3 separate regions of the Mus musculus genome follow, and all the other regions are reported to be linked to region 1. The links are microRNA targets in miRTarBase. Many come from high-throughput screens and were not tested one by one. Region 1 holds a microRNA gene; each other region holds the end of a gene's coding sequence.

Region 1 (5,072 bases):
GTCTACCTTTATGTCACCACAACATACCTGGTGGTCCTACAAAACCATGCATCTCTCCCAGAGGATCATGAAAAGGGCCTTTCTGGCCACTCAGTTCAGGGACTCCATTCATCTTAATCTATTAGCCCTAAGTGGATGCAAAAGTTCTGAACGTGGGGGGGGGGGGGAGGACCCTTATTACACATGAACTGGGGCCTTGACCTGGATATCTACAAAGGAACTCCTAGAATTCCTTCAGAGTGGCCCATTATTCCCTCCCCTCCCCTCTTCCCTCGGCTTCTCTGATGACACCCTAATCTGCTCTCTCTCATCTTCAGGGCTCAGATAAAGACCACTGTGAAGCGAAAAGTGTATGAAGACTCCGGCATCCCCCTTCCAGCTGAGTCACCCAAGAAAGGACCCAAGAAGATGACGTCCGGTGTCCTCTCACCTCCAAACGCCCCTCCACCCAGCAGCTCCAGTGTCCCTGAAGCTGGGGTTCCTCCCATAAAGAAACAGAAGGCTGGTGAGGGCTGTGGAGTTGCTGCCTAGGGTAGGGGTTAAAGGTCCTATCTGAGATTCAATAAGAGAATTGGGCCTGGGTCAAAGAAGGAGAGACGCTTCTCTTCTGTACGCTGGTGATTCCAGAGTGGGTAGAGGGATGTGTAGAGCATGAAGCTTTGGCAGACTGGGAGGAGGGAAAGACAGCAGTCAGGGAAACCTAGAACTTAGCCTATGCCCCCTCCCAGATGTGACACTCAGTGCTCTGAACGACTCCGACGCCAACAGTGACCTGGTGGATGTCGAAGGGCTAGGAGAAACTCCTCCAGCCAAGAAACTCAACTTTGACCAGGGTAGGAGTCCTCCTCCTCCCACGCTGGCTGGGGGTGGGGAACATACTCACCTGGATGGTAGGGGAGGGTCCCCACAGAAAACCCCTTTCTGGTGCAGGGGCCTCAGAAGGAAGATTCAGTGCAGGGGAATGGGTCAGTTAGTAATACGGCGTTTGAGGAGGTGAGGGTTTTCTTGGAAAAATCCTCCACGCTTGCTCCATCTCTGTCCGTTTTCCTTCCTGTTCCAGACAGCCTGACCCTGGACTCTGGCCTCCTCACCACCTCCGCTGATGCTCCTCTCCTCTCCTGCTGAGCCTTCCACCTCTGACCCTCATTGTTCACCCTGGACCTGTGGATCACCTGGGACTCTAAGCAAGGACTGCCTGAGAGAGGGTCAGAGGGCTGCTGGAGCCATCCACCTCGTTCCTGATAACCATGTGCCCTCGCCCTTTGACTTCTGTGTGATGGACATTTTTATACAGAAAATTATAATTAAAAAAGATTCTCTCAACATGGTGCTGCCAGCTGCCGTTCCCTCTCCTCTGCTTCGCCCTCGGGGCTTGGCCCCTTCTCAGTAGCTCTCACCACCCTGCCTGGAGCAGCACAGCCAATATTGGCAGACTCACTTCCCCATGCCAATATTTCTGTGCTGCTAGAGCCAGGAGAGTTGGGTGTGGGCAACAAAGACTCTACTTTGCTCTGTGGGGCCAGAACTCATTACCAGGGTTCCTGATAACTGGTATCAGACAACCTGGGGGTTGCAGAGGGGCTCTTTCCAGTGTCTCCTGTCCCACCTTGCAAGAACTTCATCACAATACCCTAGACGGTGTGTGTGTGTGTGTGTGTGTGTGTGTGTGTGTGTGTGTGTTGCTTCTCCAGGGTGGCCTCCCAGGGCCAGGCTCATCGGTGCCTCCCATACCCTCGCTCTAACACCACAGTGTGGTTTGGACGTGGCCACAGTGCCGTACAAACCACAGTGTGCTGCTGGGGCGGGGGCAGGACTGGGGTGGGTCGAGAGGAAGACAGCACAGGCAGTGCCGTGAAGACCCCCACCTAGAGTGAGACAGAGGTGTGAATGGCAAACATGGCCCCCCAAAAAAGCTGGGGGGGGGGAACAATCAGGAACCAGCAAAAGTAGTTTAGCAGGCAAAGGATAGGGCCCTGGCAGATGAGTCCAATGTGATAAGCTTGGAGCATTCTTCACCTCTGTAGGAATTCAGCTCTGGGGATCCTTAGGAAACGGGATGACTGGGGAAGACCAACAAACTGCCTCCCACAAAGGCAGGGACCTAAGGTTTCCTGTGTCCATTCCTCCCTCCCTAGGTCAGAACCCAAGAGAAATGCTGGAAGACACAGGGCCAAGGACAGCAGGGTTGGGAGTTGGCAGTCCAGAGGTGGTGGGGCTGGAACACGGTTGAGAGAGGGGGGCCGGAAGTCGCCCTGGGCCCTGGGCCTGCCACAAGATGGAGGCCAAAGGCAGGAAATGGAGGCCAGGGAGAAAGGGATGCAGCAGAGCCCAGGAAGAGGCTCATCTGGACCAGAGGGCAAAGTATTCAACCCCAAGTGCTGCTTCCATTCCCCATGGTCCCCCAAGACCCACGCCCCACCCACACAGCAACACTCATTAGCCCATTCACCAGGCCCAGGCAAGCAGGCCCACCCCTGAGAGCCACGTTTAAGCAAAGACAAACATGCCTTTTCCCCACCCCCAACCCTAGGCCTTCCCATAGCCCTTTCCTCCTGTCCAAGACTTGATTTTAAAAAGAACCTCCCAGAAGGCAAAAGTTTCTTCTGGAAATTTCAAAACAAAACAAAACTCTGTAAACCCTAGATATTAACCTCCCATATCTCATCCCACCTTTTAGCACCACCAGGCTTCCGACACACCCCCCCAAAACTCTTAGCAATCAAAAGATTTAAGATGGTGTGTGAAGCAATCTTTTTAGGCCCCCCTAGTATGCCAGACCCTCTCCAAGACTACCAGATCACCTATATCAAGCCCTGCCAACGCCTCCTGCTCCTTGCACCCTCCTGGACCCCCAGAAACAACTGCTGTCCCCCAGCTCCCATCCCAGCAAAGCTTTTGTGGGGCTAAAAAAAAAAAAAAGCAAACACTGTCCTAATGTCTGTAGGAATATTGGGGGCTCTCAAGTCTCAAGCTTTGGTTTCAGTATGAGGTGCTACGTCTTAGGGGTACAAGAGAAAGCTTCTCTGGTCATCCCCCCAATTTCAAGAGTTACAAGGCGCAACCCCACCCCAGCACGCACCTCCAAACCTCCCCCCCAACCGCCACGTCTCTCCTGAAAACAGGGGACACTTTCCTCCCCACTTACCTCAGCTACTCTCCCCTGAGATCCTGGTCCCCTATTTTGAAAGGAGCAAATTTTGGGGTGCATCCCTCACATTTGGGGTGCAGGAGAAAAGAGACGCCCCAGTCGCATCGCTGGCCTCCTTCCTCTCAGCTGGCTCAAGGACTGGGGAGTGCCCTGGGGTGGGGGACCCCCACAAGAGAGCTCTGGAGGGGTTCCTCCACTCCCAGTCAGAACTGGGGACACCCCCCCAAAACCCGTCCCAGCCCATCCGTCTCCAACTCGGCGGGAGAGGCAGCTGCATTGCCCCAGTCAGATTCCCCCAACACTACATTCCTCACCCCATCTAGAGGGATCCCGGGGCCCCCAAAAAATCCCAAAAAAATCTAGGATGTTGGGAAGATGGTCCTGAACTAGCTACCCAAATTTGGGGTCCTTAGATACCCCCGTTTTTTCAGGAAAATTCTGTCTTTCTCCTGCCTCCCGCCAGCCCTGCTCTGTCCCGATGCCAATTTTGGAAGTCACTCCCTCCTTCCTCCTCCCCGTTTCTCCAGGCCCCCCCGCTTGGGGGCTAGGGTCCAGGACACCTGGTTTCCAGACCGGGGGACACTCTTTAGAAGGCTAGGGGCCAAGAGGTCAAGCTCATTGCCCCTGTCTCAAGGAAGCAGGAAAGCCCGATCCTCCCCTCCCCTCCCCTCCCCCCTGGCTGGTCTCGGTGGTGGTTTAGGAAAGCCTGGAGGACTGGAATCTGCCATTGCTATTGCACAGGCAGTTTTTTTTTCCTTGAGTTGGGGGGGTGGGCGGTGGGAGGGAGAGAGGGGAGGAGAGCCGAAGAGAGCAGGGACCTAGGCGGGAATATCTGGCCTGGCTTACCCTCTAGCCCCTGCTGCCGTTGGAAACCCCTCCCCCGCCTCTCAGTTCACCCTCATTCCCAATCCTCTGTCTGCTTTCTCTTTGGGGCTCTTATCTTAAAATATCAGGGTGCAAGATTCACCCCCCCCTTGTAGACCATCACAGCCTTTCCTTGCCAGTTTCAGCAGCACTGTTAGTCAGAAAGTACCCACTTTAACAAGAGACACCCCATCTCCTCCAAACGGATTTTTTCTTCCATAAGAAATCGGGGTTCAGAGTATGAAGCCACCTTTCCCCCCTTAGCACAACAGGTCATATTCCAGTGAGTCTATGATGGACCACACTGCTTTTTCCAGGCTTCACCCTTCAAATTCTGGCCTTATTTGGGGGTTCACTAATTTTTTTTACAATCTGGGGTGCCAGGGGACTATCAGCAAAAGATAACCTAAGTCAGAAGTGTGCTTTAGAATAGGTGAACCTCCAAATCAATTTCAATTTATGACCCACCTCTCAGCTTCACCAAATGTGGCCAGTGGCAAAACACCCAGAAACTGGATACCCCCCAAACTATCCTTCTACCCTGGGGGGGCTTCTCAATTCTCTCCTGTGGAGGAGTTTCACACATAAACATGTTCACAGGAATATCCAACCCTCAAAATGAGTTTCCACAAGATTCAAATACAAAACTTTGCCCCCCCATCAATCAAGCTCTCAGCTACAGAAAGCCTTCAGATCCTCTCCTAGCTTCTGGCTCTGCCACCAACTCAATGTAACTGGGCTCTCTAAAAAGCCCCAAGTTGACCTTTATGTCCCCAAACAATCTCATCCAAACCTTGAAACAGCACTTGGAAAGAGACTATGTCCCCCAAATTAGTTGCGTACTCATGCTCCCCCAGTAGACCAGAAATTAGAGATGGACAGTCTCACATGGGAGCATCAAATCCCTCCAAACCCCCGAACTAAGACATCTTTAAAACCAGCCCCGCACCTCCAATTTGCTATCAGCTGTCGAGACTAAAAACAGGCCTTATTGACTACAATAACTTCTATGGCAAGTGACACCCCAAAACTCAGAATAGCTAACTCTGTCCTGACATCA
Region 2 (5,072 bases), not on the chromosome of region 1:
GGTCTGTGTCTCCTGAAGGTATCTGGACAATGGATGGAGAGGGTGGAGAAATCCTGTCTTGAAAACTCAGGGCAAGATCCTGTACAGGAGGGCAAAGGGGAGAGTGTTTGGCCCATGGAGAGAGATGGTGGTGGCACAGCAGGTCGCTCAAAGAACAGCTATGACCCAGAGAGTCTGCCTTGCTGGGACTCTTGGTTTCTGGACATCCTAGACACCCCACAGTCATCCTAATTGATCTCACTTTGCAGTAATGAGGCTCGGGTATTTGCTAGTGTTGAGGTGTTGTCCTCTGCAGTCCAGCGAGGAGAGGGAGGGAAGGAGGACTCTGGATGCTCTGTACTGGGATTGGGGAAAAGTTTAAGAACCAGGGAGTGCTTTGCCTCACCGATCTAGTACTAGACTGGGAGCACCTACCTGTCTTCTTATCTGGAACCTTCCAGAATCCACACACACGACCAGACATTCTCGTCCCCATGAAGGATTGATATGGTACCTTCCCAAGGGTACAAACTGGTTCTATTTGGTTTGGGCTGTTGGGAATCTAGCACACAGTAGGTACTCAGTAAATGCTTATGTGTGTTTGACTATCTGGTGGATGAATGAAGCTCTTGCCCACCAGGAGAGGCAACCTGATTTATATATGTTGCTAGCTGCTTGCTATGTCTGCTGGCAAGTCCTGCCTTCCCCTCATCTGGCCTCAATTTCCCTCTTCCCTCTGAACCATGAGGGAGTTAGTATGGTGCCTACAATATCCTTTATAAATCTTCCTTATTCCCATCCAGATGAAGTATAAGCAGTCCCCCTTCAGGCTTGCCTTAACAACCTGACCCATTTGCATGGCCCAGACCCACAGGCTCCTCAGAGAAGGCTAGGCCAAGCCAAGCAGAGGCAGGTTGGCTTGGATAGCAAAGTCGTCCATCTGCATAGACCTCTGGCCAGTGTCTGAGCTTGGGCTGTAGCAGAGCCAGACCCCATGTTTACATTACAGTGCAGATGAGCAGGGTTTAGAGCTCCTGTCCAGGTATAGTCTGGGGCTCACAATATTCCACCTAAAGTGTAGAGAGCACTTGGGAGGCTTCTAGGAATTTGGCAAGAGTATTTACATTGGGGCCAGAACAAAGGAGTAGGCTCAGATAAGAATTTGACATCAGGCTAGGACAAGGAAGTAGGCTCAAGATAAATACAGCTGAGGAATGTGTTCATTGTATCTTGATAGCCTTAAGACCCTGAATACTTGGGACCTTTGTTCCTTAACTGCTTATGCCTTGTTTGTTCCTTCACTACTTTGTTTATGCCTTAGGACTGACCATCTTTTTTTTTTTTGGGGGGGGGGGGTCCGAGACAGGGTTTCTCTGTATAGCTCTGGCTGTCCTGGAACTCACTTTGTCGACCAGGCTGGCCTCGAACTCAGAAATCCACCTGCCTCTGCCTCCCAAGTGCTGGGATTAAAGGCATGCGCCACCACGCCTGGCAGGACTGACCATATTCTTTGATGTACTCAGAATGATATAAAAGCAGACTGGAAAAAACTAAACTTGTTTCAGCCTTAGCACTTGTTGGAGTCATATATTATAATGTTGTCTAATTGTCTTTTCTTTCTTTAATCCTCACTCTCTCCCTTAGACCCTGGTGACTGACTGGCTTGGTCACTAGAGTCAGCTCAGGGGCCCTAGTGGTAACAGCTTTGATCCTGTGCAGGAGCTTTGGGAGGCCAAGAGAACCTGGGAATCCCAAGCTGGGTGATATAGAAAAAGCAGCCAAAGGCTGCAGAGGGTCCTGGCCCCAGCCTAGGTGATCATAACCACAAGGACTTGTAGTGTTTTATGGTGCCCTACCCCCATCCTCCTATGAAAACTGAGGCCACTGTGCACAGTGAGCTTCCTGTATTTAACCTCCAGGGAAGGGTAGGAGATAACAAAAGGGCTGTACAGGACCCTCAAGCTTCCTTATTTGAATAGAGATGTTGAGAAAGGACCGTGCAGGAGTGGTCATTTCATCCTACTTCTAGCCCCCAGGACAGCAAGGAGAGCTGGGTTTTGACTATGGTCTGCTCAGAGAGCCCCAGGCAAATCACTGACCTGCCCAGCTTCTAAAACCTTTTTTTCTATTAACTCCAGCCTGCCACCCAGCGGCAGGCCAGAGGAGTGTTAAGAGGACCTGGCCTGGTGCCCCAGCCTACACCCAGTCTTACTGTGGTATTCAAGATATATCCCCACTTTTCAGCTTGTCAGCTGAGGGCAGATCTGCCTCTGCCTTCTCCCACTTTGTTTTCTCTCTGCTGCTTGGAGCAGATAGAGGCAGAAGCCAGTGCCCGCCCACCCAGACAACGGGTGGCCTGCGGGTAAGGCTCAAGTACTGCTCAGAAACTGGCAGGGCAGAGGACACCCAAAGGACCCAAAGAGGACACACAAAGAGAGTAAAGGACAAAGACTCAGGCTCTGCTTCTGCTGAGCAAAGTGACACTGCAGGAAGGCCAGAGAGAAGCTTTACTAGTGTTGAAGAGCAGCAGCAGCAGCAGCAGCAGCAGCAGCAGCAGCAGCAGCAGCAGCAGCAGCAGCAGCAGCAGTCCGTTCACCGGGACTGGTCAGGGCTACCGCACTGGCTTTATCTCCTTAGCTGATCCCAATAGGAGGCAAGATCCTTGGAGGTTCTTTGTGCGAGCAGGACCAGCTGGGACCTGCATTGATCACATTACACCCAGAGATCATCAGCTTGAGAAAACAGAACAGTGGCACATAAAGGTCAACACACGCAGGTTTGGGGAGGAGCGGTTGTTGGTCAGGGGAGAGAGGGTGGCACCAGGGATGCCCTCCTCAGGGATGCCCAAGGTGCCCCAAGTCCCCAGCCTCTGGTGCAGGAACTGAGACATGGTCCCGAGAAGGGATCCTATGAACTGGATCTTGCCCAGTTTCAAAGCTGGTACACCCCCAAGGAGACAGGTCTATCAGCTGTGTGAACATGAGGGTGGATGCAAGGCAAAGGGACTGTCAAACACACAAGATCAACTGTTTATTGAGTTTTGTTGTTGTTGTTCTAAAATACTATACATTTTAAGGAGTTTCTAAACATTAAGGACTTGACAGCTTTTGGTCATTCTGTAGCTTAGGAACAAGGATTTCTGCTGGTAAGTTCTCATGACACACAGCCACAGCGAGACAGTGCTCGTGCCAAACACCGAAGAAATACAAGTTGCTGATGTGCACCACTGCACTGTCCGAGCTAACAAAATAAAAGTCCTCTTTGTGCCCATCCCTGGGGCTCACAACAGTCCCACTGCACCTGAGGACAAGGGCAACTGGAGGAACTTGTGTGTGTGTGTGTGTGTGTGTGTGTGTGTGTGGTGGAGGGTGTCGAACCCCTCCCTCTAGCTCTCCAGTGAGTGACACAGGGACTGTGAAGTCTACGATTACTACCAAGTCCTAGGAGCTTTTCCAGTGCTCGGTCATGAGCTTGGAGCCCAGGCCAATGAGAATCAGTCTTCCCAGCAGCTCCACTCAGAGGCCAGAGCCACATCCTAACTGGGTGGGCACCGTTAACCAGCCGTGCCTGTGCTTCAATGCCATGGGCTTCAAGCAGTTGACCAGATCTGCTGTCAGAAGCCACCAGCTCTCATTCAACAGTGGGTGAACTCTATAGATTTTCTGATTATCAAATAATATATACAGATATACATCGAGACACAACGGTCTAATGTAAAGCATCTTAATCTACAGATGCAACTGTTTTGAAAAGTTAGTCTTCTTACTGTTAACTTTCCAAATCACTAATAGAACTGTTAATCTGCAAAAACTGAAGCAGGGATAGAGTGAAAATAATTTCTGTATGTGGAAGTGTTGGGGAACGTTGCACAAGGTTAGCCCTGCAACTGGCACTTGCCATAGAACCCCGGCTGCAGCAACCCCACATCTGGACATAGCACAGAGAAATGAAGACAGCTCACGTGGAGAACATCTCAGATCAGTGTAGGCCATAATTTAACTGACTGGAAGAGCATATAAAAAAGTATAGCTGTACATTGCCTTTAAATTAAAACCTCAAACTCTTTACTCAGAAGATGGCATGTAAGTCTGCTCATTGACCTTGCAGATAGGACCTCATCAGAGAAAATCATCAGTGGAACAAGAATCAGTATGACCCGTCATGACTCAGGAGAGACAAGGGCGAGAAGGTGCAGATCCATGATAGAGAGAGCTGGTGGGGGTGGGGAGGGGCCTGGCTCTCGCTGTTGGACCCTATCTTCCTGTGTCTATATCTGCCCAGATGTGCTTGGAAAAGGGCCAAGTGCCCAATGAAATCACCAGCTCATCTGCCTTCAAAGCACACCAGGAAGCCAAGAACAACAGAGCCATCGTCTTTTGCAGGTGGAGTGGATGCCTACATGGCTGCTGGGGGCACTAGAGGTGTCACTGCCCAGGCCAAGGCTAACGGAGCTCCTGAACTGCCCATTTCCGTCTCTCCGCCAGCCTGCCCATGGGCTGTCACTGGATAGCCTCGACATAGTTGGCTGGGTATAGGCCAACCTGGCCGCTGTCTAAACGTCCCTTGCACCAACCCTGTTCATCTTCATCCTCTATCTTGGTCAGTTCATCCCCTGCAAGACAAAAAGAGGGTGGCCTTAGTGACAGGGGGCAACACTGACCACAGCAAGTCATCTGTGCATACAAATCCCATGTGGATATGAAACATGCTTCTAGAAGGATCCACAGAAGGTCTCCAGGGCAGAGGGACAGGCGTCCTCCTGAAGGTAAGGCAGGACCCTGGATATTCACTACTAATTTGTATTCAAAGCTTCTGACACAGAGGTCACTGTGATCTGAAGATGGCAGCCCTCAGAGCAACCCTGGAGCAAGCAGCAGTCCAGGCTAGAACCGTTCCAGGTTCAAGCCTTGTGCCTACCCCATGTGTCCTAGGCTGCTCTGCTCGGCAACATGCCCCATGTTTTCATTCTGTGCGGTGGCTCAAGGTGTTTCTGGGACTTTGAGCCACTACTGGCCTGGCAGAGACCGGGGCCAACATATCTGCTCACTAGACACTTCTATCTGCAGACAAGGAGACCAGCAGATGCTAACATA
Region 3 (5,072 bases), not on the chromosome of region 1:
CAGCGTGAAGCAAGCAGAGAAGTCCTTGCTCTCCCACCACGCCAACGTTTGTTGAACATCTCTGAGAGGCGGGAAATGAAAGAGAGTTAAAGGGCCAGAAGTAAACTGATAAATCAAGAGCAGGCTCTCTGGGATGGCAGCTTCTTGTTCCCAGAATTCATTGTGAGAAGAAACATTGGGAAGGCACAGGAGGACCAATAAGTAAACGGGAGTAACCAAGGGGCCTAGAAAACACCCAACTCAGTGTTTGTTTAGGGACTCCCAGCCCTAGGTCTTTCCCCTCACAAGGTACATTCACTCTCTCCATGGCATGCTCTTCTGCTCTCTGATGAGTTCCGTTATCTGTCTGTGCCAGGGAACGAACCCAGAAACCCCCTAGGCTGGCATTTTCCCTGATGCATGGGTGTATGGTATGGTATATGTGTAGTGAGGTTGTGGTACATGTGGTATAGAGGAACTAACCACGTCTTCACACTAAGGTAGATATGGACTGTACTGGCTAGTTTTTTGTCAACTTGACACAGCTGGAGTTATCACAGAGAAAGGAGCTTCAATTGAGGAAATGCCTCCATGAGATCCAACTGTAAGGCATTTTCTCAATTAGTGATCAAGGGGGAAAGGCCCCTTGTGGGTGGGACCATCTCTGGGCTGGTAGTCTTGGTTCTTAAGAGAGCAGGCTGAGCAAGCCAGGGGAAGCAAGCCAGTAAAGAACATCCCTCCATGGCCTCTGCATCAGCTCCTGCTTCCTGACCTGTGTGAGTTCCAGTCCTGACTTCCTTTGGTGATGAACAGCAGTATGGAAGTGTAAGCTGAATAAACCCTTTCCTCCCTAACTTGCTTCTTGGTCATGATGTTTGTGCAGGAATAGAAACTCTGACTAAGACAAATTGGTACCAGCAGAATAGGGTATTCCTGTGACAACCTGGCCATGTTTTGGGGACGACTGTGGAAGGACTTTGGATCCATTCGGTGTTAAGAGCTCTGTGGGATGTTGTGTAGGAGCTTGGAAGATAATGTTGAGAACAGTGCAAAAGATGGAGGCCTGGCTTGTGAAATTTCAGAGGGAAAATTAAAAGACTCTTTTCAGGGCCATTGTTACTTTGTGAAGATTCTGTAGTTCTGGTTAGCTGGGGCTGAAGAATCATCTGTGATTAACAAGATACCAGAACTACTAAAGCAAAAACTTTGCATTACTGGAACTATTGATGCTGGTTAGCTGGAGCTTAGAAATTAGTGGTGATTAAGAAGAGACCAGCATCATTGAGGTGACATCTTCTGGGAAGTGTTTTCTGAGAGCACAGAGGCTGTGTTCCAGAGATAGCCAAGACTGTACCTTGTGCTGTGGCTGGACTTGGTAATGTGTAAGAGTCACCCAGGTGGTACTGGTTTTGAAGGCATGAAGGAGTCACGCAGAGCAGCTGAGGCTCGGCACTGTGAGAGGCCATGGAAGGCCATTGGTGAAGGTTCAGCCTCAGTTGCAATTGATGGCCCAGGACTGAAGGGGTCATGCAGTGTTTTGGAGATGCCAGTACCATGAGATGACCACCAAGAGCAGCAGCAGTGGAGTACAGACATCTGGAGCCTAGAGGACGACATGTGTGCTACAAAGGGCATGGCTGGAGAAGTGACCCAAGCCCTTGGAGGAGCCCAGAAGATCGTGAGTTGGATCCCAGACATTGGATGGTTGGAGATTGATTTTTGCTTTTGATTGTGCCCTGATATTTTCCCTCTTGAAGGAAGAAAATATTTTAGTGGAGCCCCACAGTTAAGAGACTTTTAATTGTAAAAAGACTTTGGATTTTAAAAGAGATGGATATTTTAAAGAGATTGAAAATTTAAGAATATGTAAAGACTGTGAGATGTTTAAAGTTATTTAGACCTTGGGGATGAGTAAGAATGTAAGGGTTGAGGCTTACTAGTGATGTGTGTTTGTGTGTCAAGTTGACAAGGGGTCAATTGTACTGTCTAGTTTTGTGTCAACTTGACATAGCTGGAGTTATCACAGAGAAAGGAGCTTCAGTTGAGGAAATGCTTCCATAAGATCCAATTGTAAGGCATTTTCTCAATTAGTGATCAAGGGGGAAAGGCCCCCTGTGGGTGGGACCATCTCTGGGCTGGTAGTCTTGGTTCTTAAGAGAGCAGGCTGAGCAAGCCAGTAAGTAACATCCCTCCATGGCTTCTTCATCAGCTCCTGCTTCCTGACCTGCTTGAGTTCCTGTCCTGACTTCCTTTGGTGATGAACAGCAGTATGGAAATGTAAGCCAAATAAACCCTTTCCTCCCCAACTTGCTTCTTGGTCATGATGTTTGTACAGGAATAGAAACCCTGACTAAGACATGGACCATGTTTGTGTGTGTGTGTGTGTGTGTGTGTGTGTGTGTGTGTGTGTGTGATGTTGTGGGGTGGTATGTATGATGTGGTGTGTGAGAGGCCAATGTGTGTGTGGTGGTATGTGTGGTCTGTGTATTACAGGTAAACATGAATCGCGTCTTAATGCTAAGGTAGAGCAGAGCCTATTTGTTTGGTACAGGTGGGATGTATGTTTTCATGGGTGTGGTGTGAGCCATGTTACACGGAAAGCATAAAGCAGATCTTCACACTAAGGCAGAGACCGACCCTGTTGATTTAACCTTTGTTAAAAGCATCACAAATGATTTATTGTTTCTTTTTTTTATATAAAGGAAAAACAAAGAACTCATCACCTCTGCTATGCCCACATGTCAGGTAAGCTCAGGGCCTGGTGGAGAGTGATATGAGCCCCTGAGCTGGGCTTTTGCCCCTGGCTGTATAATGCACGGCACCTCAGCTGATAGGCAGGGAAACCCTGTGCCTGCATGGCCATCTGCAGTGATGGAGATGAGAACAGGGAGGATCTTGGGTCTATACGCTCCAAATGTTCAAATAGAAATAGTAACAAAAAACCCAAATAGCTAGGGTAAGCCTGCCCGTGTCCTTGAGAGTGAGAGCGTGCTCGAGGAAGGCACCCCAGGCACTGGTGAGCTAAAGTGGCGGGCTATGTCCAGGGGTTCTGTGCTGACCTTGGGCCTTATGGAGACTGTCGTGTGTGAGCATCTCCTCTGTGTGGTACTGGGTGGTACTTCCATGCTGTGGGGATACAGATGGGGAAAAGGTCTCTGCTTAGGTTTCATTTGAGATAGCAAGAAGGTATGTGGGGCAAAAGTCTTAGAGTGTCATGACCTTCACTGGCACTAGGGTCCCATTTGTAGCCCCTCCCAAGGAGGACAGCCCGCAGTTACCTCTGCAGAGACCCCTGAGCCCCAGAGAGTGGCAGAAAGTGAGAGATATTGGGGTACAGTTGAGACACTCCCACAGACCAGCTTTGTGCCCCCCATAGCTACCCTGCTCTGTGCTGTCCTGTCTATGACGAGCGTATAGACAGACACCCAGCCCAGTCCTTAACAGAGAGACTAAGTGCTGGAGCTGTCCTGTGAGGGTCTGTCTGAGACCTCTTCTTCTATATGGGTCACATTTCTTCCTTAGGGAGAACTGATGGGTGCTGGTGAGTGTGCCAAACAGCAGCAGCAGCAGCAGCAGTGGGTGTTGAGACACCCGGGCCTCGCTCCAGGCCAGCCTGGGCTCTCTGGTAGGGCAGCAAGAGTCTGGAGGTGAGAGGATGGAAGAGGAGGGGAAGGGAAGGGAATACTGACTTCAGTTTCAAGGCAAAAGGTGAATGATGCCAGCTCACAGTGTCAACCTGTGCTGGGTCCCTGACTTGGCCGTAGGAGCAGGCAGCAGGCGACTCTAGGGCTACCTCTGCTGCTTTCTTTCTCTGACCGTGAAAGGGCCACAAGGCTCTGGATCCTCTAGTTCGTTTTCCCAGGAGATGCTGCCCTCCCACCCCTCTTCTGGTTGGTTCTTACAAGGGTTCCTCAAACCATAGGGCATCAGAGCCTGATGTGTTCTACTAATGTGCCTTTCTGGGGCCTGTAGTCTCTTCTAAAGCCCAGACCTGACCGGAAGCCAGCCATCAGCCTAGAAGCTGTAGAAGGGCACATCCTGCTGGATGGAGCAGGAATTGCATGTAAGGGTCCCTTCTTTTCTTGCCTCTAACCCTGTAGCCCTGAGGGAAAATCAGAGAGATAGTTGCCCCTCTAGGCCCAGCTCTGGGCATTCTGAAAGAGGGGTTCTGAGAGTGGGATTCTGATGGATCGAAGATGGCTTCTATTGCCTGCCTTGAAAACAGAAAGCTAAAAGAAAGAGCCCCCAAACTCAAATAGCTCTACCCGGGCAGGTATTTACACTGCAGTGGAGAGAGTGGCTTCCTGGAAGGTGGTGTTGGGTTGGTCTGGCCCAGAGACTTCCTGACTCTGGGGTCCTCTGCAGGGACAGGGACTGTGGGGCCAGGGCTGAGCAGGCTACAAGTCTGGAGTGGGGGTGGTGGTGGCTGCAGGCTCACCCCAGAAATAGGCTGGTCCAGCCCCAGGCAGGAGAAGCCAGGCCTGGGCTGCAGTGGCAAGATGGAGTAACCAGGGCAGCATGTTCAGGTCTAAGGACTGTGATGCCTCAGAGTCAAGGGTGGGGACTCTGTGTGGCACCACAGGCCCGTGTCCAGGTGGGTCATGAGTCGGCTGTCCCAGGATCCCATGGGCCAGCTGGGGCTGACAGGGAGAAGTGTCTGTCCTCTGAGTGGGGACAGCTAGAGGAGTTGGCCTTTCCACGGGTCTCAGAGGGTGTGTCATTCCAGCTGCAGTTGTGGTCCTGTGCCCTCTCCGGAGGAAGCAGGAGGAGAGTGTCCTGGCCAGCTGGTGCCATCAGCCCACCAGGTAGCTATGCATCTCACGAGAGTTGATGCTCAGGACCACCCCTGAGTGGTTGCCTAGGGAACAGGAGAATGCAGCCCATTAGTGAGGTTGGTGGGAAACAGACCACACAGGAACACAGGTGACCTCAGCAGCACATGGGGCCAACATGCAGTGAGGTTCCCTCAGCCTGTGCAGCTAGGTGCAGGTGGAGGTGGGGTCTCCAGTGCCCTATGTGGTAACAGGAGGGAAGTGCCAGGTGCCTCCACAAGCAGTGGTCCGGAGGAATGTGTAGTGAGGCACCCACTGACC

Evidence for each region. The annotated mature microRNA mmu-miR-497a-5p reads CAGCAGCACACUGUGGUUUGUA and lies in region 1 at 1,778-1,799, opposite strand. An mRNA with a match to its seed (bases 2 to 7 or 8) in the 3' UTR can be bound and repressed. Matches are read on the target gene's strand: a 7mer-m8 pairs with bases 2 to 8, a 7mer-A1 pairs with bases 2 to 7 and ends in A, and an 8mer does both.
Region 2: miRTarBase lists Pacsin2 as a target of mmu-miR-497a-5p. Seed matches in the 3' UTR shown: 7mer-m8 at 2,559-2,565, 7mer-m8 at 2,556-2,562, 7mer-m8 at 2,553-2,559, 7mer-m8 at 2,550-2,556, 7mer-m8 at 2,547-2,553, 7mer-m8 at 2,544-2,550 and 14 more.
Region 3: the mRNA of Sorcs2 is a reported target of mmu-miR-497a-5p. Seed matches in the 3' UTR shown: 7mer-m8 at 3,548-3,554, 7mer-m8 at 3,545-3,551, 7mer-m8 at 3,542-3,548, 7mer-m8 at 3,539-3,545 and 7mer-m8 at 3,536-3,542.

What each region holds. Positions count from the first base shown.
Region 1 is chr11:70,231,457-70,236,528 of GRCm38, reverse strand. Mir497 (microRNA 497) reads right to left here and starts at 1,812; the gene lies at 1,729-1,812. It overlaps 0610010K14Rik (RIKEN cDNA 0610010K14 gene), which reads left to right. Exons shown (of 6, transcript NM_145758.1): 4 at 318-505; 5 at 729-833; 6 at 1,065-1,325. The coding sequence ends at 1,069. It overlaps Mir497b (microRNA 497b), which reads left to right and starts at 1,713; the gene lies at 1,713-1,837. Mir195a (microRNA 195a) reads right to left here and starts at 1,487; the gene lies at 1,394-1,487.
Region 2 is chr15:83,373,140-83,378,211 of GRCm38, forward strand. Pacsin2 (protein kinase C and casein kinase substrate in neurons 2) reads right to left here. Exons shown (of 11, transcript NM_001159509.1): 11 at 2,468-4,591. The coding sequence ends at 4,479. Among named protein-coding and RNA genes, the nearest start is that of 1700001L05Rik, 8.4 kb to the left of the region's middle.
Region 3 is chr5:36,014,556-36,019,627 of GRCm38, forward strand. It overlaps Sorcs2 (sortilin-related VPS10 domain containing receptor 2), which reads right to left. Exons shown (of 27, transcript NM_030889.2): 27 at 2,625-4,837. The coding sequence ends at 4,773. Among named protein-coding and RNA genes, the nearest start is that of Gm52811, 68 kb to the right of the region's middle.